Rhinolophus ferrumequinum: one gene and its partner. The protein of the gene in region 2 purifies or fractionates together with the protein of the main gene of each other region. This does not show direct contact. Links are inferred from orthologs where the notes say so. Each region holds a gene or a part of one and is shown on either strand. Other genes may lie near its edges. The genes, in order: ANAPC1 and L3MBTL1.

Region 1 (15,199 bases), on a different chromosome or scaffold from region 2:
AGAGATCATTAGCTCCATGCACAGGTCCCTCAGCTCTGTCTCTCACCTCTGTCTTCCCGTTATTCCGGGCGCCGATCTCTTTCACCTGAACTGTCACAAAACAGTATCCCAGACAACAGTCTCTCCAATCCACAGCCAATGCTACCTATTGCCGCCAAAGCAATATCTTCTCAGAACACACAACTGACGATGCACTTTCCATTTGAAGGTCCTTGCTAGGTTCTTTCTGAGTTCCTAATCCGAGTTCCCAGGTGCATATAAGCCTCTTCACTTTGGTCCCACCCAGCACCTGCGAGCTCCTCTCCACACCCACACCCTGTGTGCAGCCATTTGGAAGTTAGACTGAGCCATGCTTTTCCATAATTCTTTTTGCTGTGATTCCCTCTGCCTAGAAGGCCCTCTTTACCAGCTTCCAATTCAAACAGCATCTTCTTTGAGAAGTCCTCCCTTAGAGCTCCGCCCCCTGGCTCTCAGCACACTGTGGACACACAGCTATGACACGGCACTTCCATTTATCTGAATACAGTTTCAGTGTATCTGTCTATTTGCTCACCTTTCTACACCATGAGGTCTTCCATGGCACAAACTGTAGATTCGTCTTTGTCGCCCCAGCACCCAGCACACTGTCTGAGACAGTGACACTAAACACTTGCAGAATAAATGAAGGCGTAAACTAAATCTCAGTCACATAATACCTAACCAAAATATAAAATTATTATTTACTAGCAGGAAGTCTACATAATCATGTTTTCCAGAGCAAAAGAACTGAATTTACAAAGCTTACAATCCCACTTCTAAGGGACTCCTTTGAAAGATACTCCTTTGCAGGCATGTCCCCCGTATTGTTTATCCGTTCATCTGTCCACAGACACCTGGGTTGTCGCCACCTTGCGGCTACTGTGAATAATGCTGCTGTGAATGCTGCTGTTTGAGTCCCTGCTTTCAATGCTTTTGTGTGTATACCTGCACGGGGAATGGCTGATCACAGGGGGATCCTAGCTTTAACGTTTTCAGGAACCGCCAAACTCTTTCCCACAGTGGACTTAAGATAAAGGAGACAACAGAAAGGAGACAATACACATCACTGCACCTCCAGGGAACCTAGGAAAGAGGCAGTCGTGCCTTGGAGAAATGAAGACGGAAACACAGGAGCAAACGACTGTCTGGACATCATCATATCTACACAAATTATATGCGTCCATAACAGAAAATTATCAAAAGCATCACTGGCTTCAACAACCCCAGACAGAAATGATTTTACATATAACCTCAAATCTTAGATAATTCCCAAAATATTGTTAGAAGAGTATGATGTTCATTAGGAAATAGTCAGTGGGGGAAAAAACTAATAAGTAGTGTCCAGGGACCAAGATTTCAGTGTTTACCAGTAAGGAACTTAACCCTAGTCAAAAGGCCTTAAAACCTCGTCATAGCCTAAGAATTAATTCAACTACTATAAATGTATTCATTTCCCCCCAACTTTTGAATTCTAAAACTTTTCAGAAAGAAAGTTGAAATAGTTCAATGAACATCTGTGTCTCTTCAATCTAAGTTATTAACATTTTGCCATGTGTGCTTCTATGTGTGCACTTGTGTACAGGCGGGATTGGGGGGGGGCAGGGGGCTAACGATCTGAAAATTGCACACATCATGAAACTTCACCCCTACAGACTTCATCACGCATTTCCCAGAAACAAAGACATTCTCCTATAACCACAAAAACGTCGGCCGTCTGAGAAAATAATTTTTCTAATATCACCTAATATCCAGTCCATTTGCAACTTTTTCAAATTTTCCCAAAAATGTCTCTTTTAGCCAATTTTCTAGAACCAGGATTCAATCAAAGTTCATTCAACAAGGTACAAAAAACAAGAAGGTACATTTGGTGATGTTCCTTTAGTCTCTTCCAAATCTAGAACAGTCCCCACCATTTTTTCCTCCATGACTGACTCCTTCAAGAGACCACAATGTGGACTGTCCCATACTCTGGATTTCTCTAATTGTTTCCTCTTGGTGTTTTTTTAAGTTTTTTATTATAGAAAATTTCAAATATATACAAAGTAAACAGAGTAACCTACTGAATCCCCGTTACCCGGCTTCAATAATTATCAACTTCTGGCTGCTGTTGTTTCTTCTGTACCTCCAACCCTTGCCTTATCTCATGATGTTTTACAAATCAATCCTCCAGTCCCCATGTTTCCTATAACTGGAAGTTAGGTCTTCATAACAAGGTCAAACATTCGGGGGAAGAAAACTGAGTAGTTGCCATCATGTCTTCATGCTACATTACACCTGTAGGTACACAGATTCCTCTGTCCCCCTCTTAGGGATGGTAAACCCCACCACATGGTGGAGGAGGAGACCCACACATAGCTCCACAGTAGATACACATTTCTTCCCTTTCCTCAACAAGCAATCCACAGGGTGACACCCTGGGGCCATGCTAACAGCCTTCCACCCAGTGGCATTTGTATCCATTTCCAATCCTTGTCTCAATCAACGATGACATTGGTGGGTATAAAACAGTGATTTTTCTAATTCTACCATTCCTTCTACATTTATTAGCTGGCATTCTTCTATAAATAATGGAGATGAACTGCATGCCTTCCTTAAAAAGCAGGGCAAGCGCTTAATTCTTTCCCTCAAATTATCAATTTTTAGACTAGAGTTAGGTGTAACAGCCAAGTGCAACGATGGCAAATTAGTTTGTTTCCGTTTCTCTCTAAGCACTACTACGAACGTGAATTTTATTTATTCAGTGCTTTGCAGTCAATTATCATCATTGTTACATTATTCTTGTACCTTTAATGTCTTACAAGTTTTTACTGACAATATTAAATTGAATTACTTCACAAGGAGAGTATTTAAAGATTATCACCAAATTGACAAGGAATCGTGTAAAAAAAGTGATACTGAAAATTTTCTTTTCCTACCATTATCTTCACTACATTTTCAACTGGAAACCCAGCTGCTGAGATCATTATGCTTTTTTCATCATTTCTCTTAAATTTTATGACTAAAGCTTTTTTTAAAGTATTAAATAGTCAATCAAATGCAAAATTCAAATGAACTCACCTGTTGAACAGGACTGTCCACTGTAAACGCTTTATAAACAGCCAGTGCCTGGCTTTTACTTCCTTTGCTCCAAATCACCATATTTCCAGCCACGTAGAGTTCCTCATCATAATCCACTTCTTCTCCAATTTCGTTTACACCTTTCCTTAACTGCCAGCTTTCCTTCAAAATTAACACAGTTGTTAGACATGTTCAAGCATGGGTTTTTCATTTTTCTGTTTCAGTAGTATGAAGCAAGATTTGTTAATTAAATCAAACAGCCATCCCACTCTGTCTTTGCCTGAGGAGTAAGACTCACTCTCAGCCCAACTCTTAGAAGGTGTGGTGCCACAGATGGACAGAGGGGGGTGGGGTGTGTGGATGTGTGGGTTATCTGTCATAAAAGGATTTCATGAGCAAGAACTGACACACGAAGTGTCTATAGTATGTGTTTTATATTAGAGTATTACATTATGCTGCCTAAAATATAAACAAACAAAAATCACACCTTACCTGTATATTGAAAAATGAAACCCAAGAGCTTAGGAGACTATAAAGACACAGTAAGTATCTGGGGGGTAATGGGGAGGGCCAGTGAGGCACATGTGGGAACACCAGGGGAGCCTATGCGCCATGCAGACTTCCCTGCTTCCCAAGTGCACGGACAATTCACCTTCCTTCCCTGGTCCCAACGGTCCAAACAAGCGAGAGAGAAAGGTATAGATTGCTAATTGCATACCCTTCCCCTCCCTGAGATTTTTGTATCCCAAAAGGGATATGAAAATGGAGTAAGATGAGAAAGGCTGATTTTCTGACACACACAATGACATCCTATGCACCTACCTAAGAAGTACTTACTACTGTAGCTATTTCAGTGGCTTTTCTTTTCTCCTCTACACACACAAGATTTTTGCAGCAGGGACCATTCCTAACTCTACTATCTAATCAGCAAATAACATGAAATCTGATCTCCACATTCCAAGTGAAGAGGTTGAAAATGGACCATAATCAGACTGATTCTCACGATAAACTCATTATTTTTAGCCTTGATAAAAATGACCAAATCTTAGCCTCTACCCGAGAAGTAGCTTCATACTCATTTCGCACTTGCCTCTGGGCACCTTAAATTACAAGTGGACACATTACTCTGCATTTCAAAAACAGAGTGAGAAACTTAACGGAACCTTGTGTTTCTCATGGATTGTAACCTCCTGAAGGGATCCCACCAAGCCAGCAGCACCATCCGAAGACCGGAACTCAGAGGCTGGCTGCAGCTGGCGAAGCTGAAGGTTCAGAGCGTTAGGGTGGTGCCTGCAGTGGTCTCGACCGAAAGGAGCAAATTCCTGCAAGTCCCCGGCTGCAATCATTGTTGCCCTGTCTTCATACAAGTTCGACATGGGTTCCAAATATCAACATTATTTCTGTATGAATTGAAACACATTCTGGTCAGATGTTAGAGTCAAACAAAATAAAAAATATCATGAAAGTTTACTAGTCCTTAATTTTTAGGTAAGTGTCACATAATTCTATCACACTGTAGATGTACAAGTGATCATTGTGTCAATGGACATTCCAGATCTGACTTTTTCAGGTAATTGCAGTTATCATTTTACAGTTACACTGTCATTCCATAATTAACATTACAGTTCCTTTTTTGTTGCAAACAGATCAACAGTTACCACTGTAGGAAACTATTGGGATGAGACTAGCACTTACATCCCACAATACCTATCCTATGTTTCCTACCACTATACACTAATTTTTCTATAATTCACATTGAGGTATTTAGACAAGTTGTACTTCATAGTCCGATGACTTCCCAGCTCTCGACATTTAACATCATTTCTGTTCAGATGCTGGAATCTCATTTGAAAAGCATATAAAGGATCACTGGCATATTGAAATGAAACAAACAAGCAAACAGAACTCACGTATTTCTTCTAATTCATCAAAAGTTAAACCACTGCTTTAATAAGCTATCACATGTCATCAGTAATTCTGACACCCCGATCCAACTAAACATATAACCATAATCAATTCCAATTTTTGGTCGAACCTAAGGAAGCTCTGTCCATGAAACAGTCATGCTTGCTTGCAAATTTAAGAGTTCTATCTTCTAGTTAACATAATCTAGTACAGTTCACTTTATCACTACTAGGGTGTGGATGAGCTGTGGGTGGAAACCAGCCCCTCTACTTTCAAAACATTTCTACAAACAGGAAGTGGCAGCCAGTCAAATTCTGACACTGTACAATGTGATGTAGGAGGTGGATGTTAGTTTTGTCTGCGAGACAACACCTATGTGAAAAACGGGTTTTGTGGCATCACATTTAAGCTGCAATCCTCAAACACAGAAATCAAAACAAACACTAATGTCAGCACAAATGAGTATTTGAAATGCATTCACACTAAAAAGAGTTGAATTTAACTTAGTTTCTCCCCTGGGGTCTTTCAGGCTCTTTGCTGCAATATGTCAAGGCCCCTGGAGTCCCCATGCGGCTCTGCAAGCGTTGCATTTATTTTGCTGTTAATTAAACTTTCTTCCTCAGACAACTGTACATGACAATCATGACACTTTTCTCCTCCTGCTAAAAGTCAGTACTGAGAACACTTATACTTGGAATATGACTGAGACAGTGCCTCGGAAGACTTACAAGAAAACAATAAAATTCAGCTGGTCTTCTTATTATATTCTAGTCAACAGGATGACCAACATCTTAAAATTTTGAGTGAAAATTACAAAATTATTAATCATAGAACTATTTTTACAGTACAGTATCTTGTGCTGATTAAGGCAACATGTTTAATACTTTCACTGTACCTCAAACCTGTATGTGTTTACTTATGGGGGCAACGTAAGGAGCCACACGTATAAAAGCACTATATTAAACTGACGTGCTAAGAATCAAGACATCATCAGTGCTCACTAGAAACCAAGCTACCCTCCCAGAAGCGACCGCGAAGCTGGTTCAAGAAGACACCGAAAGGCCCTGCGAAGGCACCCCGAGTTGAGTCTCCGCAAAAAGGCAGAGCTTCCTCCGCCTCTTCAGGTCTTCAGGGGTCAGTGAAAACAACACGCTGAGAACCTGGGCCTCAGAAAGCCCCGTCGCAGGGGAAGGGGCCCATCTGGGAGCTGAGGCCGCACGCGGACCCCGCGTGCAGCCCGGGGAGGCGCGCCGGAGAGCCCAGCCCGCAAGCTGGGCTGCCCCCGGGCGCTGGGTCCTCCCTTCCGGTCCCGCACCGTCGGCCTCGGGACAGGTGCGGGGGTCAGGGGACACGCGCTGACCTGTCGCCGCCGGCCGGGCCCTTACCTGAGTAACTCAGGACGCGTCAGGCGCGGCGAGCCCCGGCTGCTCCCCGAGGGCAGCGGCAGAGTCGGTCACCGGGACTCCTCGGCTGCTGCAGCTTCTCATTCCCCCCTCCTTCCCTACTCTGGAGGAAGAGTGAGCAGCACCTGAGGAAAGGCGGGCGTGAGGCGAGAAGCTCTGGAGAGTTCAAATGGAGGCGGCCATCTTGGCTTCCCGTCGTGCTTCGCGCCGGGCCAAGCAGGAGCAGGACCTAGCGGGGCGGGGCCTCAGGGGCGGAGCCTCACCAGGAGGCGCGAAGCTGCGGTCCTTTGTGCAGTGAGTATCAGGAAGGATGCTGGGGCCTACCTGCCAGGGTACCTCCTTCTTAGGGCAGCGGCCCAGCCTGGAAGCAGGACTATTGTGACAAGACCCTCCTGGCGTTCACATCTTCTCCAGTCGTGTCAGTACGAGTCTGAACTGCCTCCTAACTCTGAACTAGGGGACTTTCCTGCTAGTTATACTGACTCCCCAATGGGAGGTACCTGCCTCTCCAAGCTTGGAGAAGAGAAGACCTGCTGATTTTCTCTCTTTAACCATGAGGGGCCTGAACCCTTTGAAAAGTCTATGAAAGATATGGATGCCTTCACGAAAACGTTGCCTGCGATTTCTGAGCTTCCCAGACACCCCTGCCCCCCTTACTGCCCCCCCATCCCCATGATTCCTAGACCTGGGTTAAGAAGCCCAGCTCTACCCAGCCCTCCCTGTCTGGATTTAACTGCACAATATCACACTTAAGGAAACTAGAAAATTTCCTTGAGTTCTAATCTTCTTTTGCGCAGTATCTCTGGGTTAAAAGTATTGATAGGCATCCTGTTGCCTAAGGAATAAAGTTCAAATTCTTTATCCAGAAATGTAAAATTGGCTGAAACTTCTTGTCTGCACTAAAGTGGTCTCTTGGAAGTCCCCAAACACACCTTGCACTCTGAGGCCTTGGTGTGTGTGTTCATTCTTGTCCCTTCATTAGCAACGTCAACCTTCAGAGGTTAGCTCATAGGCCTCTTCTCAGAAGGCTTCCCTCCCAGAGGAAGGAGCCTGCTGAGGAATGAATGCTGTGTCCCCCGAGATTCTTATGTTGAAACCTAAAGCCCTGTAAGATGGTGCTTGGAGGTGGAACACTCAGGAGGCGCTTAGGTCCTGAGGGTTGAGCCCTCATGAATGGGCTTAGGGCTCTTATAAAGAAAAGGACTCCCTGGAGCGCTTCCACCAAGTGGGGACACAGCAAAAGAGACAGCCGTCAATGAGCCAGAAAGTGAGCCCTCGCCAGATGCTGAATCTGCCAGGGCCATGGTCTTGGTTCCTCTCTCCTCCCACCAGCTGCCTGGTGGGGTAGAAATACACTTTTCACCTGTTTGTTGGAATCGTAGAGGAAAACATTTATGCTGTCCTTACATTTTGCTAATTTTGACTGTTTACCTCCCTAGGTATCCTGTGATACAGTCAGCTGAACTGTCTTTGCAGACCTTCTCCAAGCCTTATGCATCATCACATTTGGTAGACTGGTTTGTACAAAAAATGGTGTGTGATTAAGGTATTGGATACATTTCTCTGCAACGTGTCCTCTCACAGAGCACAGCGAACCGTGTGGTAGGTGGGCCAGGTCAGGAGCTGTGGCCTTATTCATCTCCTTAATAGTCCATAAAGGAGGTCATTTTTCTCAGCGAATCAGCCTTTTACTGCTGTTGGACCTTGACATGGTTCAATTCTGCTGCCATTTCCACAGTGCTGTCAGGAACCTCTTCCCTGTGTCCCAACAGACTGTGTTAGTGTGCGAGGGCCGCCATAACATGAGCACAGATGGGGTGGATGGCCCCCGATACAGATCAGAGCCAGGGGGAAGGCAAGAATGCCAAAGGGTTTCCACTGCAGGACTGGGAAGCTCCTGAATGCCGATCCTGCAATACTTGTATATGTGATGCAGCCGAGGGGGGACAACTCCACATTTCTGGGCACCCAGTGGCCCAGCGTTAACTGACAGTCACTCCGAAGAGATGCACATTTGTAGCAAGGGTGGCATATCACTGAAATCTGGCTTTTCTACATTCTTCAGCTCTGAAATCTGCTTGGTTCTTTTTTTCACGTTTTTTATGTTTTCTGTCTGTTTGTTGAACTCGATTTGTTCTTGTACTGTTTTCCTTCTGTTGTCAGATTGTTTACCTGTGTTCTCTGAGCTGCTGTAGAGTGATTATTCCGACACCTTCTTCACTGTACCAAGGCAGTTGAGTTTCATTTTGTGTGCTGTGCCTTTTGGTCCATGTCAAAACCAATCCAGCAAACAAGCTGTTAGAGGACTTTGTACCCCCTTGAGATATGACATTGAAGACCATGTCTGCATAATGGGCCCCAAGCAGTATGTTGCACCTAATCCAACTGCATGTTCCTTCCACTGTCATCCCAAACCCTTAACATCTCATTTCTCCACAGTTTTCCTAGATTTCTGTCTGTGTGAACTGGGGAAAGGGTGCAGCTCGTTTGGAGTGTAGCTGAAGTCCTCGTGGGTCACAGTCTATACCGCACTCTTGGAACCTGCTGGAAGCTGAGTCTGCTAACAAGTCTGGAAGCAAAAAGGGCTGTGGGCGCAGGTCCTGAGCAGGGTAATAGAGCCTTGCAAGGCAAGTACCTCGGGGGTGATCCTTGTGGATTTAGGAGAAGCAGAGGCAAGCTCCTCAGGCAGGAGTGGGAGGGCTTCTTCTGCACAAAGAAGCCTGCACAGTCTTGGAGTTCAATGTCCCCGCTTAATCAGGAACCACCCATGTGTCCCCATTCCAACTTTTAGGACCCTATTTCTTCTAAATCATCGCTATCACTTTCACTGCCATGTGGACAGACATTCAATTTTGGTTGTAATTCACCCACTTGCAGGATGAGACTGAGTTAGGTTTTCAAACATCTCAGCGCTAAAGTTATATTAGTGCTCAAGAGTTTCAGGGAAGATATAGAAATTTCTCGGCATTTGAGGGGCGCTTGCGTTGGAAATTGAACACCTTGAGCTCACCTTTTTCTTATTCAATCAAGTGCAAGTAGGAGCAATCACCTAATTTTGCCACATTTGTTAGTTTGTAAAACATGATCTAAAATATCAAATTCATAGTCACCTAGAACCTTTTTAAAAATACATATTTGATTAGGAATATCCATCCAGTGGTGATCCTTTGTATATCTCTATTACCACCTTGTACTATGGACTGTCAATGCCTTCTTCAACACTGGCAATACGGTCATTTGTGCCTTTATATTTAATCAGATTCGAGAACCAATTCCAGAAGATCCAGGATTGCTTGAGAAAACACATCTTTTAGGTTCTATTCCTCTAGAACCATCCTGTTTACCAAAACCTGTATCCATCAGACTTCTCCAGAGAGAAAGAACATGTATATTTCTAGCATGAAGATACGTGTGTGTTTATACATATATGTATGTATGCACATGTACATACACAGAGAAACGCATATAAAGAGATTTATTTCATGAAATGATTCTTGTCCTTATGGGGCTCGGCAAGCCTAAAGTCTGTAGGGTAGACCAGCAGACTAAAAGCTCAGCAAGATTTTGTACTGTGATATGAGGCATAATTTCTTCTTCATCAAGAAACCTCAATTTTTCCTCTTAAGGATTTCAGCTGAGTACAGACCCACCCCCATTTTCAAGAGTAACAACCTCCAAAGTCAATTGATTGCAGATGTGTTTGGTCAGATAACTGGGTACTATAGCCCAGTCAAACTGACACATAACACTAACCATCAGACGTTGCAAGAGCTCTTTATCTGTATAAGTACTAGACCTTTCACGGATCTCTGCTTTGCTAATATTTCCTCCCATTGCATGGGTTGTCCTTTCCCACCTGATAGTGCCCTCGGAGACACGATTTGGGCATATTTATGAATTCCCACTTACCTTGTGTCTGTCATTGCGTGTGCTCTAGAGGTGGTACCTAAGAATCTATCGCCAAGTCCACGATCGTTTGTGATATGTACTCCTTTGTTTTCTTAAAATTTTATAGTTTTACCTCTAAAATGTAGGTTGTTCTCCCAAAGGTGGCGCTAAAGCTCAAGTTTGCGGTCTCTCCCTGGCCGGGAGACAACGGCCAGCTTTCCCCGGGAGCTCGGAGCCCTCGGCCTGAGCTCGATCTTGCCGCGGCGGGTGGAGGGCACAGAGGGCGCTGGCCGCGGGGTGGAGGGGGTGGGCGAGGCAGGCGGAACACTAGCGGTGCCGCGCACCCACCGGGGGTCCCCGGGCAAGGCAGCTAATAGGATCCGCATCCCTTTCGTGTCCTCCCAGAGTCCTACGTGCAGCAATCCCTGCCTCTTCCCGCCTCCCTCATGCCTTTCACAAGTCAGTCCTCTGGATGGGCCAAGAGAGAAGCCAGCCCCTGGGGTGCAGTCCCGAGCGGCTGGGGAAGCCAAACTTGTCGTATTACTATTAGTGCTCAAACTGGAACTTTTCCGCTGGGAACCTGGGCTCCCTCCCAGGAAGTCTCTGTTCCGTGCGTGACTGTCTAAGACATTGTTTTCCAGGGGCTCCCGGACCGCGGCGGGGCGGGGCTAAGGCTGACTCAGGGCCTCCGCAGGGCCCGGTTCCAGGGCCCAGGGACCCAGGTCTGTCTGCCTCTTACCAGCGCAGGGGTGGGCGAGGCTCCTCCCGGCCCGGCGAACGTGCTTCATCCCACAGCCCCCGCGGACGCGCTCTGCTCCATGGACACATGTCGAACTGTTCCTCTTCTTCCTGAATTGTCACTGGCGGTGGAGGGACAAAAACCGAGGCACGTTTTATGGCCCCGTGACGCTGCCTTCCTGAAGTGTCACCTTTTGATTTTCTAAGTTCCCACATATAAATCACTCTGTTTCTGAACCCCCTGGTATATGTCGCTGATTTTTTTTCCTCTTGAAGAAATGCTATACTCTCAGTGTGCTAGACTTTTTCACGTTTTCATACCCGGTCGCACAGTTCTCACCTCATTGCTGCCTTTTGAAATATTCTTGAGGCTGTTTTTGCAGACTTTTTCATTAGAATCGGTGGTGGAAATGCTATGACAAATACTTCAAACTTGGGCCGGCCATGTGTTGAATTTATAGATTCATTTGGAGGAAAACGAATGTTATTTGCAATTGTGAATTTTCCCACTCACAGATCTGCTCTATCTTTCCATTTGTCCTTTACTCATCACTTTATTAATGTGATCCAGGCGCACATGTAATATGATTGATATACATAATAAAAAATATATGTGTTTAATACAATATATACTACACATGGCTAATACATTATCTGGTCACTCTTAGCTCTGGCTAGTTTATAGAATTTGGTGCTACAGTAAAGGGAAATCGTTTTCTCTGCCACGTTTTCAAACTGGTTATTTCTGTTGTATATGAAAAGGATCAATCTTGACCTAACTTCTTGATTCCTATTATTTGTGTGGGTTGATTCTCTGCACTTTTTAAGACATGTGATCTTTAAGACATGTATCTTTTTCATTCTCTAGCCCTCATAGGAGTATTTCCTTTTCTGTTTATGTTGCTAATCTAAGGCGTGGTTTTAGTGTAGACAGTGGACATTCTTCTATTGCTCCTGTTTTCAGTGGGAAAGCTATTGATGTTGTCACAGCAAATATCATGTCTGTGGTACATTTTCAATTCGTGCCCTATATCAAATTAAAAAATATTTTCTTCAAAAGTTTCTAAATTGCTCAGAATTTTATCAAGATTTGGTGAAGCTATTTCTTGACTTCTGTTGAAGTGCATCTTTTCCCCTTGTTAATTGTATGAATTCCATTAATGTTGAATGTTTATTACTGGGTAGAACTTTAATTGTTCTCAGTGTGCTATTCCTTTGTAATACTGCTGTGAGTAAATTTGCACTTAGGATTTTTGCATGTATTTTAATGAATTGCCCTATAGTTTTTGTTTTGTTTTTGTTTTCAACCATCCTTGTTGAATTTTAAAATGTACATATGCAAAAAAGTATTTGTTGTTGTGTTGAAGACATGTATGAGATAATGCATAGATGTATGAACTGAGAGAATCAATCAAAAAAGATGAAAGTAGTTGATGAATGAATTGAGAAAAGAGAGATAAGGAGAGAGGAAGTGGACATAAGAACAAAATGGAGAGATCACAGGACTGGGCAGATGAATGAATGGGTAGAATAGTGTATAGATAGATGGTGAGACTAAAACACTGGACAAACAGAGAAAGCGGGGACTGAATAGATAGCATAATGTCAGTGTCACTGTTGACTTTTGATATAAAGATAGAGTCAGGGACATCTCTATAAACTCTACCACAAATTACAAAATCACTGTGTAGTTGGGTGTTTTGGTCACAAGTAATCAAACCCAAACATACGTGGCTTAGCAGAAGCAAGTGCATGTCAGCCCCTGTAAGTTGTGATACGTTCTGCACAAATCACGGAGTTTATTCTCCTCCTTTGACAAACTGAGTCACACACTTCTTGACCTGTTCACTGCACGAGATAGAAAGGAATCAGGTTAAGCCAAAAAAAACTTACGTCTCTTTTGTTGACCATTGTCACCTCCAATAGATTTTAATTAAAAAAAAATAGAACTTAGGTCTGGAAATAAATGGGTCACATTGCTTCTACACAATGAGGAATAAGCAGTTCTTCACACAAAAATCTGGGTGTACGTATTGGGAAGCATCTAACACTTGTCCACAACAATTCTGCTGCTCAATCTTAAAATCCCAACCACAATGTTAACATCACATATCAAATTCACACTGACACGTATGGAGCGTGTTATACTCTGCCTGTGTTTCATGATATTATACAAGAAAAGACAATGGCTGTGCTGTCATGTTAGGAGCAAACCCACATTGCAATGAGAGCTAAGAACAGAGTGAAGGTCACTGCATAAAACAGGAGACTGTCCACAGTCTGGGAGAAAATACTGCATGTACCTGACAAAGGCTGAATCACATGTACTGAATTCCTACAAACAACACAAGAAGTGGACCATGGACTTGAACATTTTATGAAAGATGATATGCAAATGGAAAAATAAACACAGGAAATGTGCTCAACATTTTCAAGACCACAGTGAGATATGTCTTCTTACCCACCAGAATGGCTAACAGTCAAATAATTCATTTTAAGGATTTCAAACTTTATTCTGAGAGCAGAGCATTGAAGGACTGACAGCACAAGTGGAAATGGTTCTTAAAATGATCTCATTTACTGCATTTGCATTTTCTTGGACTTTGTCCTCATGGAGAGCATGCTTGGATACAAAATCTCTCTATGGAAACTCCTGGTCAAAAGTTTATCAAAACAAGGCAATACTAAATATTCTTTTTAAGGGTAGCACAAGAAACACCATACATATTTCTGGATATGTGTGCATCTCCACAGAATGAGGATAAATATCTGGATCTAATTGTTCTATATCTTTAATGCTTGTTTGATAAGAAATTAGGGAGATAATAATGATAGAACTAAACCAGAGACAAGTCCTCTGAGATACCCTACATGGAAAGCAAGAATATTGAAAAAACAAGGAAAGTTGAAAAGCACTTGATAGTGGCAGGTAGCTGCAAAATTTGAGATGCCCAGAGGCAGGCTTGTAAACATACAAGCACAAAAATGGAAGTCCGGCGAGGTGGGGGTGGGGGGCAGGCAGGGGAACGAGTGGCAGAATGTTTATGTGTAATGATTTTCACCTAGTTCAATCAAGTTGCTTACCTAATGTTTTTTGCTGGTCTCAGCCTATCAGTAACAAATGTTGTGGCTAGACCAGTCCTTGTGGTTCTTATGATGATTGCAAAGCATTCCTCAGTAATAACCTTTGGGAAACTTTGTGTGTGGGGGGCAGTGGGTTTTATTTACAGGCCTGGGAATTACACTGCACACCTCGAGCCACACAGGGAGGTTGCAGGGTGGGGGGAGGGGAGGGGAGAGAGAGAGAGAGAGAGAGAGAGAGAGAGAGAAGAAAGGGAAGAAATAGAGAAAAAATAAAGTAAGGTAAATAAAGGAAGGTAGAAGACTATAAGAAGTAAAGATAAAATTTACAGATAAGGTAAAAGAAACGAGTGTAGTAAAACTAATACAAACAATGAAAAACTTTAAGAATTGAAACATGATTTAGGAAGTTGTGACTTTTTATATCACATTAAAATATATTTTTTTCTTCAACTATATTAGATCAAGATTTTAAAGATAAGAAAAACGTTTTTAAAAAAAGGAAAAGAAATCGCAAGAAGACTAAAGAATGGATAGATGAGGTCAAATACAGTAAAAGTAGAAAATAAATGGAAAATAGTCATCAGAGAGCAAGGCAATATACTGTTGTAAGACTATGCCGTGAAACGAATAACAAAACATGATAGACCTGTATAGAAACAGAAAGATGAGCAAAGGGATGAATGAGGGAACAAAACAGATATTTGTGAGGTTGTATTTTGTATTTTGCTGCCTTAACGTTCTGTGATACATAACCCACTTCATGAACTGAGTGTCTTGCCACAGTGTGTCTTGATAGCTAAGCATGAGATTCATTTTTTAAAAGTACTATTTGGTTCAGAAAAAAATTAAAACAACTCCAATTTTTCAGTAAAACCAAACTTCGTCTTTGGTTTCACTGGAACCAAACGTGGATCAAATTGGACAAACTTCTTTGTCCCCATCTTCAATACTTCAAAACACACACACACTCACACACACAGTTTGTATCTTGAGTCCAATTTCTCCATCTGTGCAATAAAGAAATTGGACTAGATGCTATTTTTCTTTTTCAAAATAAACATAGATTTCTTTCATTGTAAAAAACAATTCATGCGGGTGGCCGATGG
Region 2 (15,492 bases):
GGGTGGATGTCTGGGTGGTCGGCATCGATCCAGAAGTCATAGGCATGACTCCAGCCATCAAAGTGGAGCTGGGGAGGAAAGACCCTTGGTGGTCAGGTGTTCTCATGAAGCCCCATCCCTGGGGCCTGTCAGAAGCAAGATTCTGGATTGGAAGAACCAAGGAGCCAACCCCACAGTAATCTGTCTTGGCCACCACATTTTCCAAGGGCTTCACTCATTAAGCTACTGGCATCTCCTACTAATGCTTGGGCAGGACAAGGATTATTACGCCCATTTTGTAGATGGGAAAGTTAAGGCTCAGACAGGGGAAATGACTTGCCCAAGCCTACAAAGGTAAGTCACGTGTGAGGCTAGATGCGACCCAAGATCTTCAGCCTCAGGTTCAGAGCTCTCTTCCCCACAACGTGCATCCTCCCTAATATCTGGCTCATGCCATACCCTTGACCTCTATAACCAGCCTACAGATTTCCTGTCCAATCTGCCTGTCGATTCCCCTAGCACAGGGGTCCCAGAGCCACCTTTATCCGATGGTTCTCCACGTCCTCTACGCTGGCCACACGAATCAGAGCTGGGTTCCTACGGTCCACGGCCTCCAGCTTCATGTTGACCAGAAAGCTGTGCGGGGGTCGCTGCAGGGGGACAGCGGCCTTCAGGCCAAGGCCCAGCTCAGCAGCGCCGAGGCCCCAAGAAGGGAATCCAACTGCTGTGCCTGGAAAATTGGGACCTGCCAAAAAGGGAGGCCAGGGCTCCATGCCTTCCTGAACTCAGCTCTGGGGGCAGGGAGAGCCCACTCACCACCTTGAAGGCCCAGGCGGGCACAGCAGCAGCCCCCGTCTGTTCCAGGTATTTCTCCCAACAGAAGCTATCTGGGTCTGGGTAGTCTGGAGGAGAGGAGGAGAACAGTGTGTCGGCACCCAGGTATACTGGAGGAACTCTGGGCCCCCAGGCAGGACCAGGAGCGTGGAAGAGACAGAGGTCGTGGAGGACCAGGTCCCCTGCATCACCACAGCCAGCTCCTCGCAGGGAGTCCCCGAGGCAGAGGGGTGCCAGTCAGAAGCAAGCACATCACCACCTCACAGTTCACAGGGTTGTCTGGGGACACTGCTCCCATCCCGCTCTTTGGTCCTGTTGCTCTAGGTCCAGCCCAGCCCCATCTGAGCCCTTGCTGTATGTGGGCCAGCGTAATAGTCCAAGAGGAAAGGATATACTGCCTTCATTCTGGACTCCTGCGCCCTTGCTTGGGGGGTGGGGTGGGAGGGGAGGTCATCTACCTGTCTTCCCTTCAACCTCCACATAGTCAGGGTTTGATAAGACTCTCCTAAAATCAAAGAGTTCTCATGTCGCAGACAGGTACGAGATCAGGGAGAGGGGTGTGGAGCCTGGCCTGGGAAAGGGCGTTTGCTGAGGCGGCAGAGTCACCTTGTGGAGGGGTGAGGGGCTTTCCTTGCTTCTGGCACCAGCCCACCGGGTGGATGTAGGGACTGCTGGGATCACACCTGAAATCCAAGGATATTTCACTGTCCCGAGTGAAACGTGGAGGCCCTGAGCCTGCCGTTCTATGACAGTATGGTATCAGGTCCTTCCTCATTCTACTTCTTAGGGAAAGTTAGTGGGCTGATGAGAAAGTCAGAAAACTGCAGCATTAACTAAAAACGCTAACAGCACCCCCGCATATCGAAGGGAAAACCATGAATCGCAGGGGTGGGCTCCTCTTGACCTTGGTATTTTTAGACGAACCTCTAATATTGAGTTGTTTCTGATACAGATCAAATCCACAGAACATTCAACAAAAATGAATGTCAGGGCTGGGTCGGGGCCACATGGTGCCTAAGGTTTGAAAGTCTTGCCTTCCACCCCCCGCCACCCTCTCACCCCCAAGGCCGAGTCTGGGCCCCCCCACTACCAGTAGTCATAAGTATCGTCCCAGTTGTCAAAGTGCACCAGGAAACGACTGTCCACCACGTCGGTCACACTGGCCACGCAGACGAGGGACGGGTTCATGCGGTCGACAGCCTCCAGCTTCATGCCCACCTGGAAGCCCAGGGGTGGGGGACTCTGGGGGCAAGAAGAGGGGCTGCCATGGCCAGAGCCAGGCAGGCTAGTGCTAGCCCAGAGCGCACTGGCAAGGATAAGGCGGGGGTTCTCTCGGGGTCATCCTGGGGGTTGGGGGCTGGTCAGGGGAGAATTAGGCAGAATCATAAACCCCAGCCCCGCGTCACTCAGGAACGTCTGGCCCCCAAGGTGCACTCAGAGGAAGCCTCTCTCTGCAGGAGGATGAGTGAATGGCAGGAGGCTACACCTTCACCCAGCGTGTGCCAGGCTAAGCGCAGCCTCCCCCACCCTACAAGCCGGCTGTCATCATCCCCATTTAAAAAGTTAAATAACTTGCCCTGACCACAGTGCTAGTCAATGGTGGGGCCCGGATTTAAAGTTTGACTTAAAAGTCTGCATCCCCTGTCACAATAGTGGGTAGAACCACACCAATCACTTGGAAAACTGCGAGGACAGTCTCTGGGGCTGGATTGGGGGAGGGGGCGTTGGGAGTAACTGCCTGAACAGCACGGTGGAGTCCCTGACCCAAGGGACCCTAAACTTTCAACAGTGACATTTTTAATGGGGGTTCCCCATATCTCTCAGACCTTTTGCTTGGTTGAGATTAGGAGATACTTTAACTGCTGGAGAAAGCTGCCAGCTGCCTTTAACAGGGAAAAAGGTGACGGGTTGAGCTGCTGGGACTAAACGGCAGAGCCTCGATGTCGGGCAAAAGGAAGGAAAAAGCAGCTCCCAGAATAGATAGGGGCTTGGACCTCACACCAAGAACTGCAGAGCAAACCAAAGCAAGAAACAAGAACAAAGACATCTGAGAGCCCAGGCTGAGCTGGGGGGCCAGATACTCCGAAGGGACACATGGAGGAGAGGATTTCTGTAGAGGGAACTGGGGGAGAACCTACGGCCGGCTTCCCGCTCTGGCCTTGGCCTGCCCCGTGTGCCCCTCCCATTTGGGATGAGACCGGAAGAGGGTTGAGAGCACCAGTAGACGAACTCTCCTCTGATGAGTCAGAGACCTGGGCGGGCTGCAGTGGCTCTCCCTGGGGCGGGTGTCCACTCTGGCTCTGGGGACTCACGTGGCTCTGGTTCACAAATAGGTGCTTGGGGGCAGCCTGAGCTCTTGTGCTGCGCAGGTACTGGCTCCAGCTGAACTCCTCTTCCTTGTAACCTAGGCCCCTCAGGGGGCGGGGTGGGTGTGGATGAACAGAGTGCCATGCAGACAGAGGCTGGGCCGCGGCGAGGGCACCCCACACTGAAGCAGCAGATCGGGCAGGCCTGAGGACCCCACATCCCTCAGAAACCTGCCCAGGGACCCATTGCCGAACCAGGACATGACCCGGGTGGACACTCAAAGGGCAAGGGAAAAACAGAAGCCCTGGGGCCGAGTCATAACAGGAAGTAATGAAGAGAGGCTGGGTGTGCATTGGGGAAAGGGGAGACCAGTGGAAAGAAGGGATGGGTCTGTGGGCCACTGCCTCGCTGTGACCAACCCACCTAGGCCTTACCTTTGGGGGGCTGCAGCTTGTGTCCAGTCTTCTCGAACCAGCCAGCGGGGTGAATGTCAGGGGAGTTGGCATTGATCCAGAAGTCGTGGCACTCGGAATACCCGTCAAAGTGCAGACGTAGGCGGTAGCCACACACCTGGGCCCACGAAGGGGAATCACATGGAGTCCGATGCCAGCAGACACCCACTCCCTTTCCCTCACCTCTCCTGCCCCGCCTGGGGCTGATGCTAGCAGGTTCCCCACCTCTCTTCGTTCCCAGGTTTACCCCCATGCTGAACCTTGTCCCACACTCCCCTATTCTGTAACGAGGACAGTTCATGTACTCGTTCTGGGTATACAACAGATACAGTCTATGACACCCTCCTGCTGTTCTGAGACCCAGCCAGAACCCCGAGGGCACCGAGCAGAGCTCAGACCTGTCCAGAGCCCCGATGCCCTCGCCTGCGGCTCCCCACTCACACACTGCACTGGCCCCACTGAGCTAATTCATGGCAGCTCCTTGGACAGGTGGCCTGTTCCCAGCCCCAGAGCCTCTGCTCATTTTGCTGGTTCTGCCTGGAACACCCTACTCATTCCCAACTCCTCTCTCAAGACTCAACAATGGAGGCCCATCCTCTGGGAAGCTTCTCCTGCCCCCGCCATGTCTCTCTGTGCATGCCTGTCCCACACCTGTGGCATGTCACTGCTATGTTTATTTGGCTGATTCCCACACAACTAGGAGCTCCTAGAGGACAAGGGCCTTGTTGGACTCATGCTAACGTCCTGCCCTCGTGACCTCCTCAGGTCACCCCAGCACTGAAGCACACACTCACTCAGTGCCACCACCACCCCTCACGCTTCGTCTGGATTTTGTTCATTTTTCTGGCTTTCTGTGTGTGCCACCTTAATCCCCTATTAGATTGTGTGCTCTCTGCGTGCGGGGCAGTGTCTCCCTCCTCTGAGTCCAGGCCCTCCATGCCCCTGGCGGGCTCCATCGCTCGATCTATCCTGAGAAACATCACCAACACAGTGGTGCGAACCTCAGCTCACCTCGGCCACGGTGAGGATGAAGTACATGGATGGGTGCTGAGGGTCGATGCCTTCCAACTTCATGCCCAGTCTGAAGCCATTCTTGTTCTGAGTGACCGCCTGGTACTGTCAACGCACAGATTGGACAGGACCCAGCTTCCATCCAGTCTTATCCTTACCTGGTGAGCTTGGGGTGAAGGAGCGGCCTTTAGGCCTCACCCGCCTGGTACTACAAAGGGATAACTTAACTGGGGGTCTAAGTGCAGGGATCCCGAGGGGGATAAAGAGCTCCCAGACCCCTTGAAAATTGTGAGCTGAGTCAGGGCTGGACTGAACGTCTCCCTCTCACCCAATCATTGCAAGATCAGCATACACCATTGAGTAGAAGGTGCCAGAATTCAAAAGTCTGCAGGCCTGGTGATGGGTTCCACCTCTGTATTTCTTCCCACCCTGGAAGCCCCTTAGGGTGGGCCCTTTTCTACTCTGGGTCCCTAACCGATCTCTCCCTTTTCCATTCTGACAGTCCTTTAAGGGGTATCAAACACAGAAAACACCAGAAGGCCTGAGTTTGGTGGCGAGTCCCTCAACTGGGAATACAAGCACTTCCTAGGTGGAAATTGTCCCACTCACGTCCTGGAAGAGGCTGACCGGGGCAGTGATGGCCTTCTGCTCCTCCAGGTATGACTCCCAGGACCAGCCTTCCTTCTTCTCCCCTGACACTGTGGGCAGGAGACAAACAGGCTGACACGGAAAGTGGAGATGGTAATGGCGAAGGCCCAAGGGCCTGAGCTCATTTTGACGAGCCTTGTTCCATTTTTCTTAGAACCAAAGGTCAGAGTGGGGGCCCAAACAGCAAGGTCCGGCCAGTGAGCCGTACAGACTTGCTCACACCACCAAAGGGAAGCAGTATCATGTGATGCCATTAAAGCTATTCGAGTCTTTGAATACTTAGCCTGGCAATAAAGCCTACTCACAACTGAAGAGAGGATAAACAAAGACATGATAAAACCCCCAAGAACACATAGACACTAATGCATAAACCAGAACCATTGTCTTTCTCTCATTCTCTGTCTCTCTCACATTCTAACTCATGATCATTTATATGTACACAACACACCATCACAACCGACAGCCACTCTCCCAGCCTCACACCTCCAAATGTGTACACACACGTCACATGAATATGTACACATAGGCCACCATACCAGGCTGGCTCCTGCTCCACTCCTCACTTTCTGGGGTGTGAGCAGTGGGTTGTCCCTCTGGATCCTTTCCTTCTTGCTTCTCCTGTGGAAGGGAAGCCTGATTCCAGATTCCTGTCCTCCTGGGTTGGTGAGAAGCCCCAGTCTCTATTCCTGGCCGCTGTCTGGCTCTCTGGCCACAGGTGTTTTGCCCCAAACAGGTGGAATTTCTTCTAGGCCCCCGGCAGGAACACAGCTCCAGCAGACCAGCCCCTACCACTTGGACACAGACTCACATAAGCGACACAACCTGACTACAATTCCCCTCCTTCCCAGGTGGGGAAACAGGACACAAACACCTGACTAAGGATGAGACTCCCCAAAAAAAATGATGATTGAGTCATTGTCTTCTCTGGCCCCACCCCAAGACCTGAATTGATGGAGGGAATAGTAGGAATTGAGGGATAGCATCTAGCCCCCCCCTTTCCTCCCCACAGCCCTCTTCCTACCACGGTGTCTGGCTCTGACTCCTCCTCTGAGGGGCTCTGGTATTCCCTGTACTTCCTCTTCTTCATGGGTTTGAGGAGCTCAGAAGTGCTGGTGCACGAGTTCTGGCCAGAGGCATTCTCCACTATGACTGACCTGAGGGAGAGGCAGCCTGAAGGAAAGAACCACCCACCCACCCGGCACCACCCAGCCCCTCTCCTAAGCCAGGAACTGGAATGCAGCTTTGGGACCCAAAAGCAGAGCAAGTAGAGTGGTAAACCCTGCCCCTTACCGCTCCTGGAACAGCTGGACGCAGCCATCATTGGAGGAACCAGGATCTGGACCAGAGCCTTGCTGAGGCTCACATGCCTGGCATTGACAGTTGCCATCATCCTCTCGGGGATCCTGAGGGGGATATTCTGGAGGGTCTTGGGGGAGATCCCCTGTGGGGACCAAAGGGGCCTCAGGCCACCCACCCCGTCCCAGCCACACCTAGGCTCCGCCCACGTCGGCGCCCACGACCCCGAGGCCCTGCCTCCACCGTGGTCCCAATTCCTCTGCCTCCTCGACTGGACAGGCCCCTGCCCCCCAGCCTTCTCCACCTCAGGACCAACCCTTGGGTGCACGTGCAGGTACCCGGGGCACGCCCCCTTTGGTCCTGCCGGGGATCGAGGCTCCTTAGGGAGCTCAGGCCTAGATCCAGCCGCGCAGGGACCCAGCTCGGGGCCTGGGGCTCCTACCCGGCTGCTGAGTACTCGCATCGCCACCTCCCGCGGAGGCCTCGCTAGCTTCGTACTCCGCCACGCCTTCCTGCCGCAGCTCGGGGCTCGGTGGGTGCTCTGCTCCCACCATGTTCAGTGGCGCATACTCGCTAATTCGGAACTGGAGCGCAGGAAGGTCTGAGGACGGCGACTAGGGTACCGGCCCTTGCCCCACCTCCAGTCCGTACCGGACCCCTCCCGCCGCTTTATTCAAGCCACGCCCCCAGCAGCCCTCAAGACTCCGCCCCTGGCTGCCCAAACCACGCCCCCAGACACCTGCAGGCCTCGGCCCCAGGGTTCCTCACTCCAAGCCACGCCCCCAGAGCACCTCACTCAAAGCCCCACCCACTGAATCCTTCACCTCGACCAACCTCCTCCACCTTCAGTCTCAGGCCCCGCCTCCGGGCCCGCAGGCTCCGCCCCACAGCTGCGGCTCGCTAGGCCCCGCCAATCCCCAGAGACACTGACCCGCAGGCCGCTCCCAGGAGGCGGGACCGCGGCCTCCGTCCACTCCAGAAGCCGCACTGTGCTGACGCTAGAGCTGGCCGCCGGCCCCGCGCTTAACTGCGGCAGAACGGTGGCCGTGACAGGTATGCTACCGGTCACTCGCTCAGGGGTGCCCACATGGATGGGATCCCGCGGAAAGCAGGACACATCCAGGGCACTGCTGGGCAGGCCAAGGGTGGCAGAGGTGGCTGCGAACAGATACACGGACACAACACAGGTGAGCCTGGTGGCTCTGCCCCAATCCTGCCATGCATGTGTGTACACAAGTGAAAAATATCATCTCCTCCCCAGGATCCACACCTGCTTGGGCAGGTATGGGGATGCTCCTCCTCCCCAGGCCCTGGCTTGGCCCACCTGGAATGATGAAGGCCGCAGTGGGCAGGTGAGGGCTGGAACCTGGGCTGTCTTTGGCCACCAGATGCACGCTGACCTCCCCTGTGGAGGACCCCTTCAATGTCCTCAGCATCTCCATTTCAGCATGCCCCTCCATCCTGAAAGGCCTACAAGTGGAACACAGCCTCTAGGGTGATCAGGGAGGGAGGGGGCTTCTTTGAGGAGGAGCTGCCCACCCTCAGAGAAAAGCCTCAGCCCTGAGGGGACTAGATATATTAGGAGCTTAGCATTAACTCTGGCTACTGGCTGTAATCAGATCACTCAGGGGAGGACTCGGGCCAGGCCCTACATTTCTCCCAGTCTTGTAAGGTAGGCATGTGTGAGGGTGCCTTTGTAAACTGACATACAGAACTGACTCTGGGGAGAATGTCTCAGGCCAAAGTTCTGTCTGGCCAGCTGTCTTCATGACATAGCCCAGGCCAAGTCCAAACTTCCCTCTTTCTCAACCCCGGCTCCATTCCCACTGGAATCACTCCCTTCGCCCTCTGGGGACCCAGAGCCCTCAAGCACCATGTTCTCCCTCACTGGTATGTGTTCTTTCCCACACCCTGTCCACCACGCCCTCCCCAAGCACAGTGGGCACTCAAACATCTGTTGAATAAATGCATGATTCTGAAGAGCAAAGAGGTAATATATGAGAACCCAGGCAGTGCATGATTTTGCTTTAATAAAGCAAGGGCGATACTGGCATTTAATAAAGAGGTGTTTGAACTGGGAAATATAGGAGGGAAAAAGACCTAATAAATATATTTAATATACTTCAATATCCATCATTACTTAACTGCCAAAATGTGTGGGCCACTGTCCTAGACGCCTTACTAGTACTGTTCAGTAGAAATTTCTGTGATGATGGAAATGTCCTGTACCTACACTGTCCAACACAGTAGCCACTGGCCACATGTGGCTACTGAGCACTGGAAATGTGGTTCGTGTGACTTGAGGAATGGAATTTTTAATCTTATTTAATTTGAATTAATTTAAATCACCACAGTGGCCATAGTCATGTATTGGACAGCACAACTTTATACATATCATAATTGCCTGTTGCCTCTACCTCCAAAACATATCTCAAAGTCTGACCATTTTTCTCCATCTCATTGCCACCAAGCTTGTCCCAACCACCATCAGCTCTCCTTGGACTTCAGAAATTGCCTCCTAACCCATCTCCCTTCCTCTTCTCCTGCCCCTCTACAGTGTATTTTCCAGTAAGAGAAAGCTTTAAAAATGTCAACTAGATCACATAATTTCCCTATCCAAAATTCTTCACTGCCCTTAGAATAAAATCAAAGTGCTTTACCCTATAGAATATAACCCATCTTCCTCTCTGACCTCATCCTCCACCCTCTTCCCCATGTTCGCCACCCTCGACAGACTCTGGTTTCTACTGCTTGACACATGTTCCCACCTCAGAGCCTTTGTTTGCCCTTGCTGTTCCCTCCACCAGGAATGCTCTTCCCCAAGCTCTCTGCTTGGCTACCTCCTTCCCATCCTCCAGGCCTTAGCCCAGTGGTCACCTCCTCAGAAGGTCTTTCCTAATCACTCAATTTAAAGCAGCACACCCCTCACCCCTTCTTACTACTGCTTAGCTTATTACAGTGCTTATTTCCTTCACATCCTTCATTATAATCGATGATTGTGGGGACAGAGCCCCAGAAAGCAGTTTCCAGGCTCTCGGCCTCACGTGGAGGGGTGCTGGCTCGGGTAGTAGATGGCCGTCAGCTGTGGCCGGTTAGCCAATTGGCCACCGATATAACTGCCGCAGCTGCATTGGAGGGTGGAGTCAGTCGGTTGGCAGGCAGAAAAACAGACAGCAGGTCGCACATCGTGTGAATCCAGCCTCCAGTGAGACTATAGTGGTATGACTCCCCTACCTATGGCTCCGTGGGTGTTCCTTTTTGGCCTAGCCACATCCTGCATTCTTATGTGGGGAGTGGGACTAGAGACCCCGCAGGCCGCCTCGCACGACACATAGTGCTGTGAGCAGGATCTCCCGCACGACAATGATCTTTATTTGTGTCTGATCAGTCATCCCCATATAAATGTAAGTTCCATGAGGGCAAAGACGTTATCAGTCTTGTTCACTGCTATCTCCCCAGCACTTAGAATGGTGTTGGGCACTCAGTAGGTCTTCAATCAATTTGTGTTGGATTTCAGTAATTTAAACTTGTTAATAAAAAGCACTGTGTTGATACCTGGTTGCTTTAAGGTGTTAGCATACAGGTTTTTGGCATACAGTTCAAAGGAAAGAACATGGGCCTAGACTTAAGACAGTTAAGAGAGTATGAATCTCCACTCCACCACTCAATACCTGTGACTCTAAGTAAACAGCTTACCCTCTCTGAACTCTGTTTCTTCATGTGTAAAATGAACCTGGTAATGATATCTACCTCAAAGGGCTTTGATGAAGATCAAATGAAAAAAATAAGTGAAATCTTGATACCAGCACACTATTTGATACCAACAACTACTAATCCACTCCCTTTTAAAAGAAATTCCAGGGAAATTCCAGGGAGCTTGGTAGTTTTTCTGGCCAGTAACATGTAAGCTGCTTGCTTGCAAAATCAGTTTGCAATCATTGCTGTCTCTCCATCCTGCTGTTCTCATGCATTCATTTATTTTCCAGCTTTTCCTCCTTAAAATACAGAGTCCATCCTCCATATCATTGAGTATATAATCAGGTAAGCAAAGGTGAGATATGTCATCTGCTTAATTAAGAAACATTCACACCAAGGTCTGTTTTCCCCTTTTTTAAAAATTGTAAAATTCGCTGAATTTCAATTCCAATTATTTTGCTTAGCACAGCTGACATAGTTGTACCATTTTAAATTCTTTTCAATAGAGCCAATCTTTTTATTCAAAACATTGGCAGTCATTAAGAGTGAATGTGGTTACTCCTGAAAGAATTCCATTCTGTTTCAAAACATGTCACATGTTTCAGGTCTATCAAGGAAGAACGATGAAAACGACTGCCCTTATGTTCAGGCTTGCTGTCTTTTCTTCAGCACACATTGGAGGGTCAACTAGGTGACAGCACCATTCTGTGCTCTGGGAATAAATATAGTCTCAAATAAGACAAAGTGTGCTCGTGAAGCTTATGTTCTAGAAATATGGAATAAGGTTAAAGCTGGAGATATAAATTTGAAAACTGTCATGCATAGATGGCACTGAAAACCTTAGAACTGAGAATCAAGAAAAAGGTGGGAACCTTGGAGCTCACCAAGACTTATAGGTTGTGAAATGGAAGATCTAGCAAAAGACTTAGAAGGAGCTTGCAATGAGGTGTGACGGCACACAGAAGAGTCTGGTCTTCTGGAGGACATGTGAGGCAAGTTTTCAGAAAGTGGGACTGCTCAAGGGTGTTACATGACATTGACAGATCAAGTCAAATGAGGGCTGAGAGCTGACCACTTTAGCAATAAGGAGGTCATCAGAAACTCTGACGAAAGCCATTTCAGAAGAGCTGTGTACACAAAAACCTGATCCGAGTGGGTTCTAAAGAGAAATCATCGATTAAGTTCAACATTTACTGAGCACCTAGTATGTGCCAGGCACTGTTCCAGGCAATGCCGATTTGTCAGTGAACAGGGTCTACATTCTAGCGGGGCAACTGACAAAGAGGATGGGTCCTGTAGAAGAATGGGAGAAAACAAACTGGAAACTATGGGTCTAACAATTCTTTCAAGAAGCTGGAATGTGAAGGAGAGCATGCAAATGGAGGTTGGTATTTGGAGAGGGATGGGTCTCAAGGAAAGGTTCTTTTTGTTTGTTTTGTCTTTTTAAAATAGGAAATGTTACAGCATGTTTGTAGCTGATGAAAATGAGCCTATAAAGAGGAAGACACTGACAGTGCAGGAAAAAAAGAATAATTCTAGATATAAAGAAGAAGCCATGTCGAGACTGGCTATGGAAGTTTCATACAGGTTCTTGTATGTACGATACACTTCACAATAAAACATGTTTAGAAAAAAAAGAATAATTCTAGAAGACAGGATCTTGAATGTGCAGGAGCGGAGAGGAACTAATGCACCCGTGGTGTTGAAACTCCTAGCTAGCAGCACCTACTGTTTCCATTCTTTCTCCCCAACTAGACCATTAGCTTTTCTGAGGCCTGGAACTGCTTTCTCTCTGATTTGAATTCACCCCTCCTTTACCACTACCACCCTGTATATTTGCAGCTCACACAGCATTTTCATAAGCGTTTTGTCACTAGGTCCACACAGCAGCACAATGTGTCTGCTATGGCTCCCAGGCCTGAGCCAGGTACAAGAACCCCACTTCTGTGGTGGCTTCTGCACATGCTGTTCCTTCTGTTTGGAACCTTTCCACATCCCATATTTCTGGAAAATTCCTAATCATCCTTCAAGATCCAGCTTAAGTGACACCTCTTCTTTGAAGCCTTCCCAGAATCCACCCCGGAAAGTTCATCACTCCCTCTCTTGTGCTCCACTCCATCACAATCTAGCTATATGCATCAAGTGCTCTGTCTCCCCCAGAGACAGAACAAAGCACCTGATGTGCAAAGAGCCTGATCCAGAAAGTACACTCCACAAATAGCCACTGAATGAATGAATCAGAGCTAGGAGTAAAGAGTGGTAAATGATATAAGAAACAAATGGTACTGAGATCCATAAACGGGGTAGCCATTCTTGCCGCAGGGGCTAGAATAGGCACTCTTTCCTCTTTCAGTGCAGCTCAGGGGCTGGAGGTAGGAGATACAGCGGGAGATCCCAACTACTGTGAAGGCTGTCACTGGTAGCCCTCAGCTGTCAGCTTCTCTCAGAATTGCCCTCAGCCAGGGGAGCTGCCTCGCCCAAGTGCCCTCTCCTGGAAGCGGGTATCCGTGGACTAGTTGATACCGGGTATAAAGGCTCCGCCCCCTTGCCTCAATTTGGGACACCTCTGCAAAGCCATCTCAGCTCCAGAGCTTCGTTTGGGACAGGCTGAGGCCTCCGTTGAGACTACCACGGCAGTTCAATTTCTCCCTCTGCCCAACCACCCTGCTGTCCTCAGTCCTCTACGGGTGATATTTCCGAGGGCACCCCCATAAACCTACACTCAAACCTCCCTCTCAGAGAGTCTGTTTCCAGGGATCTAAAACATTGGATTCCCAGCCCAGAGCGGTGTCTGGCACATAGCACGTGCTCAATAAATATTTACTGAATGAATCTGCCGCGGTTATTTTTTTCTCTCGGTCTGTCGGCCAAGGGTTCCCCCCACCCTCTCCCCTTCGAGGCCTCGTATACAACAGACGCTCAATAAATGCCCTCGCTCTAGGTGGGGGGGTGGGGAGTGAGCGCCGCAGATAGATACCCCCTACGCAGCCGGGACGCCCCAGGGGGTGGAAGCGGGTTCCAGGGTCGCGACCCGCCTCCGCCTTCCGAGTCCTCCCGATACTAGTATAGACTGCGGTGGGCGGGGGTGGTCACTGATCCTTAGGTCCCGCAGAACGATTACTTTTTAAAACTCCAAAATGGCGGAATTCTTTTTATTCTTTCCCTTTATAGCAAAAATCATCATCATCATCATCATCATCATCATCATCATCATCCAATTTCCCGTTATAAAAATCGGAAATGAACGGAAGGGAAGAGAAAGTTTGCCAAACGACCCATTTCCTAAGAAAACCGAAACCCCGCCCTATACTACACCGTTCCTTCCATTAATGAAAAACTCTTAATTGATTGCATTTCTCTAAACACGAAGCCTCCTCCCTCTCTGCTTCCAAATCGCGGCCCGCAGTCGCACCGCAGACGCGCCCGCGTCGCCCTGGAACCCCGCACCCACGCGGCCCTCCGCACTCCGCCAGACCCTCTCCCGCTCCCGCTCTTGCGAACCTCCACCCCAGCCCGCGCCCCCCGCCGGAGGCGCTCGGAAGGAGCCTCGAACCCGGGCCGCAGACCCGAGTCCTCACCGTGCGAGGCTGGGCCGGTTGGCGCCGCAGCCCCACACTCCCGGGTCCAACCCCATGGCCCGCGGATTCCCTACCTGCGAGGCCAGCCTGTGGCCGCCCAGCGCGGAGCTACGGTCGGAGCCCCGCACTGCACGCGCCTGCGCGCGCTGGGGGGGCGGGCCCGCCTCCCTGCAGGACGCGAAGCGCGGACCGCGTTCGGCGCGGGTTTGGGGGACACCGCCCGCGGGCTTCGCCGCGCCCAAGCCTTCTTGCCTTCCTGCGAGTGCCGTCCGCGTGGGCCTAATGTCCCCTCTCCGCTAGGGCCAGACTGCTGCGCGGGCTAGGCGGGTGGAGATTCTTGCTGCCTCCCACCCCCTGCATCACAGCCAGCAGCACGCAGCGGTTGTGGGGATCACCGAGCCGGAAAAGGGAGCTTGGTGGGCCCCCAGGCTGAACGGTCAGTGGCAAAAGACGAGGCTGCACTGCCGCATGCACCCCGGCCGGGTCGCTGCGCTGTCCAACGCCTTCCCACCGTGCTTGCTCCCCCACCTGCAAAAGGGAATCCAAAGGAGCGTCCGAAAAGGCCTTAGGAGGGGTGAAGCGCTGTACCACCGGGGAAACCGAGACCGTGCGCGGCGCGGGTTCTGACCCTGGCCCTGCCTGGGTTAAAAGTGGCATTAGCCGCGCCTGCGTTTGGATGACCCCACTGCCATTGGCTGATAGTGTGACATGGGGCACAGCACTTTATCCTCCATTGCTTCATTTGTGAAGACAATCACCCACTTCTTGGGTTGTTTTCAGTAATGGTTCCTGTTGTGGCATTGCCCGGAGCATGTCACTGCTCCTCTATGCTTCAATTTCCTGGGCTGATCTCTCTGCCTCCGTAAGATCTAACTAGTCAATCTCCTTTAACTGGTTTCTGTAGCCCAAAATACCTCTCTCTTACGCATATCACAGAGATTTGTGTAATTCACGAGGTCAAGAAATCGCAAGTTCCAAGATGGAAGGAAGAAAGGAAGAAAGGAAATAGTTCTTTTATCCCTAGAACCCAGCACAGAGGTGGGTGCTGGGTGGGTGCTCAGTAAACATCTATTGACTACATGATGTATTGCATGCAGATGGAAACAGAGCAACTCTTAGTACATTCCAGAGCCCCAGTCCCCTTTCCCACATCAATGATTTAATCGAATCCCTTATTTTTCAGAAAAGGACATTAAGGTCCATGTGGCCTACGGTTTAGGCTCCTGACTTCAAGTTCAGATGAGAAAAGGGTTCTTAATTAATTGTAGGCAAAATCCCCAAATTGTTGTGATCATCAGGTTTAAATTTAAGCAGACTTTAACTATTCTGGTTACTATGCCGGTGTGTTGCATGTGCTCTTCCTAGCTGCAATGTGAATTTTAAATCCCTTCTCGTATTATTGGGAACAGGATTGCGTCAGTTGAGGATGCTGGTTGCCATAACAATAAAAGTTTCTTTATGCACATCAATACACACACCATCCGCTCCTTTTTCTCTCATCTCTACCCAGACTGTGCTTGTTCTGGATTCCCAAGGGTTTATTTTAGGTATTCAGAAGATTAAAAGAAAGTGGTGAAACTTACACAAACACATGGCTTCTCAATAACATCCATCTTTGAGAGGGTGATTAAGACAAACAAGCAGAATCTGAGCTGGGGGACCCAGGAATGAACAATTAACACCGATTTGAC

What was found.
Region 1: the proteins of L3MBTL1 (region 2) and ANAPC1 purify together in Homo sapiens (affinity purification with mass spectrometry; 4 studies listed by BioGRID and IntAct, counting the BioPlex papers as one, with this or other methods). This does not show direct contact. The link is inferred for Rhinolophus ferrumequinum from reciprocal best matches to the Homo sapiens genes L3MBTL1 and ANAPC1.

What each region holds. Positions count from the first base shown.
Region 1 is NW_022680356.1:575,033-590,231, reverse strand, and holds the start of ANAPC1 (anaphase-promoting complex subunit 1), read right to left. Parts: upstream 6,578-15,199; 5' UTR 6,366-6,577; intron 4,476-6,365; 5' UTR 4,452-4,475; coding exon 4,239-4,451; intron 3,238-4,238; coding exon 3,076-3,237; intron 1-3,075. UniProt on the Homo sapiens protein: Component of the anaphase promoting complex/cyclosome (APC/C), a cell cycle-regulated E3 ubiquitin ligase that controls progression through mitosis and the G1 phase of the cell cycle.
Region 2 is NC_046306.1:13,771,762-13,787,253, forward strand, and holds the start of L3MBTL1 (lethal(3)malignant brain tumor-like protein 1), read right to left. Parts: upstream 7,988-15,492; coding exon 7,852-7,987; intron 7,686-7,851; coding exon 7,459-7,685; intron 7,112-7,458; coding exon 6,970-7,111; intron 6,673-6,969; coding exon 6,522-6,672; intron 6,386-6,521; coding exon 6,253-6,385; intron 5,850-6,252; coding exon 5,768-5,849; intron 5,282-5,767; coding exon 5,193-5,281; intron 4,689-5,192; coding exon 4,584-4,688; intron 3,691-4,583; coding exon 3,555-3,690; intron 3,218-3,554; coding exon 3,126-3,217; intron 2,056-3,125; coding exon 1,904-2,055; intron 1,497-1,903; coding exon 1,420-1,496; intron 882-1,419; coding exon 796-881; intron 630-795; coding exon 519-629; intron 69-518; coding exon 1-68. UniProt on the Homo sapiens protein: Polycomb group (PcG) protein that specifically recognizes and binds mono- and dimethyllysine residues on target proteins, thereby acting as a 'reader' of a network of post-translational modifications.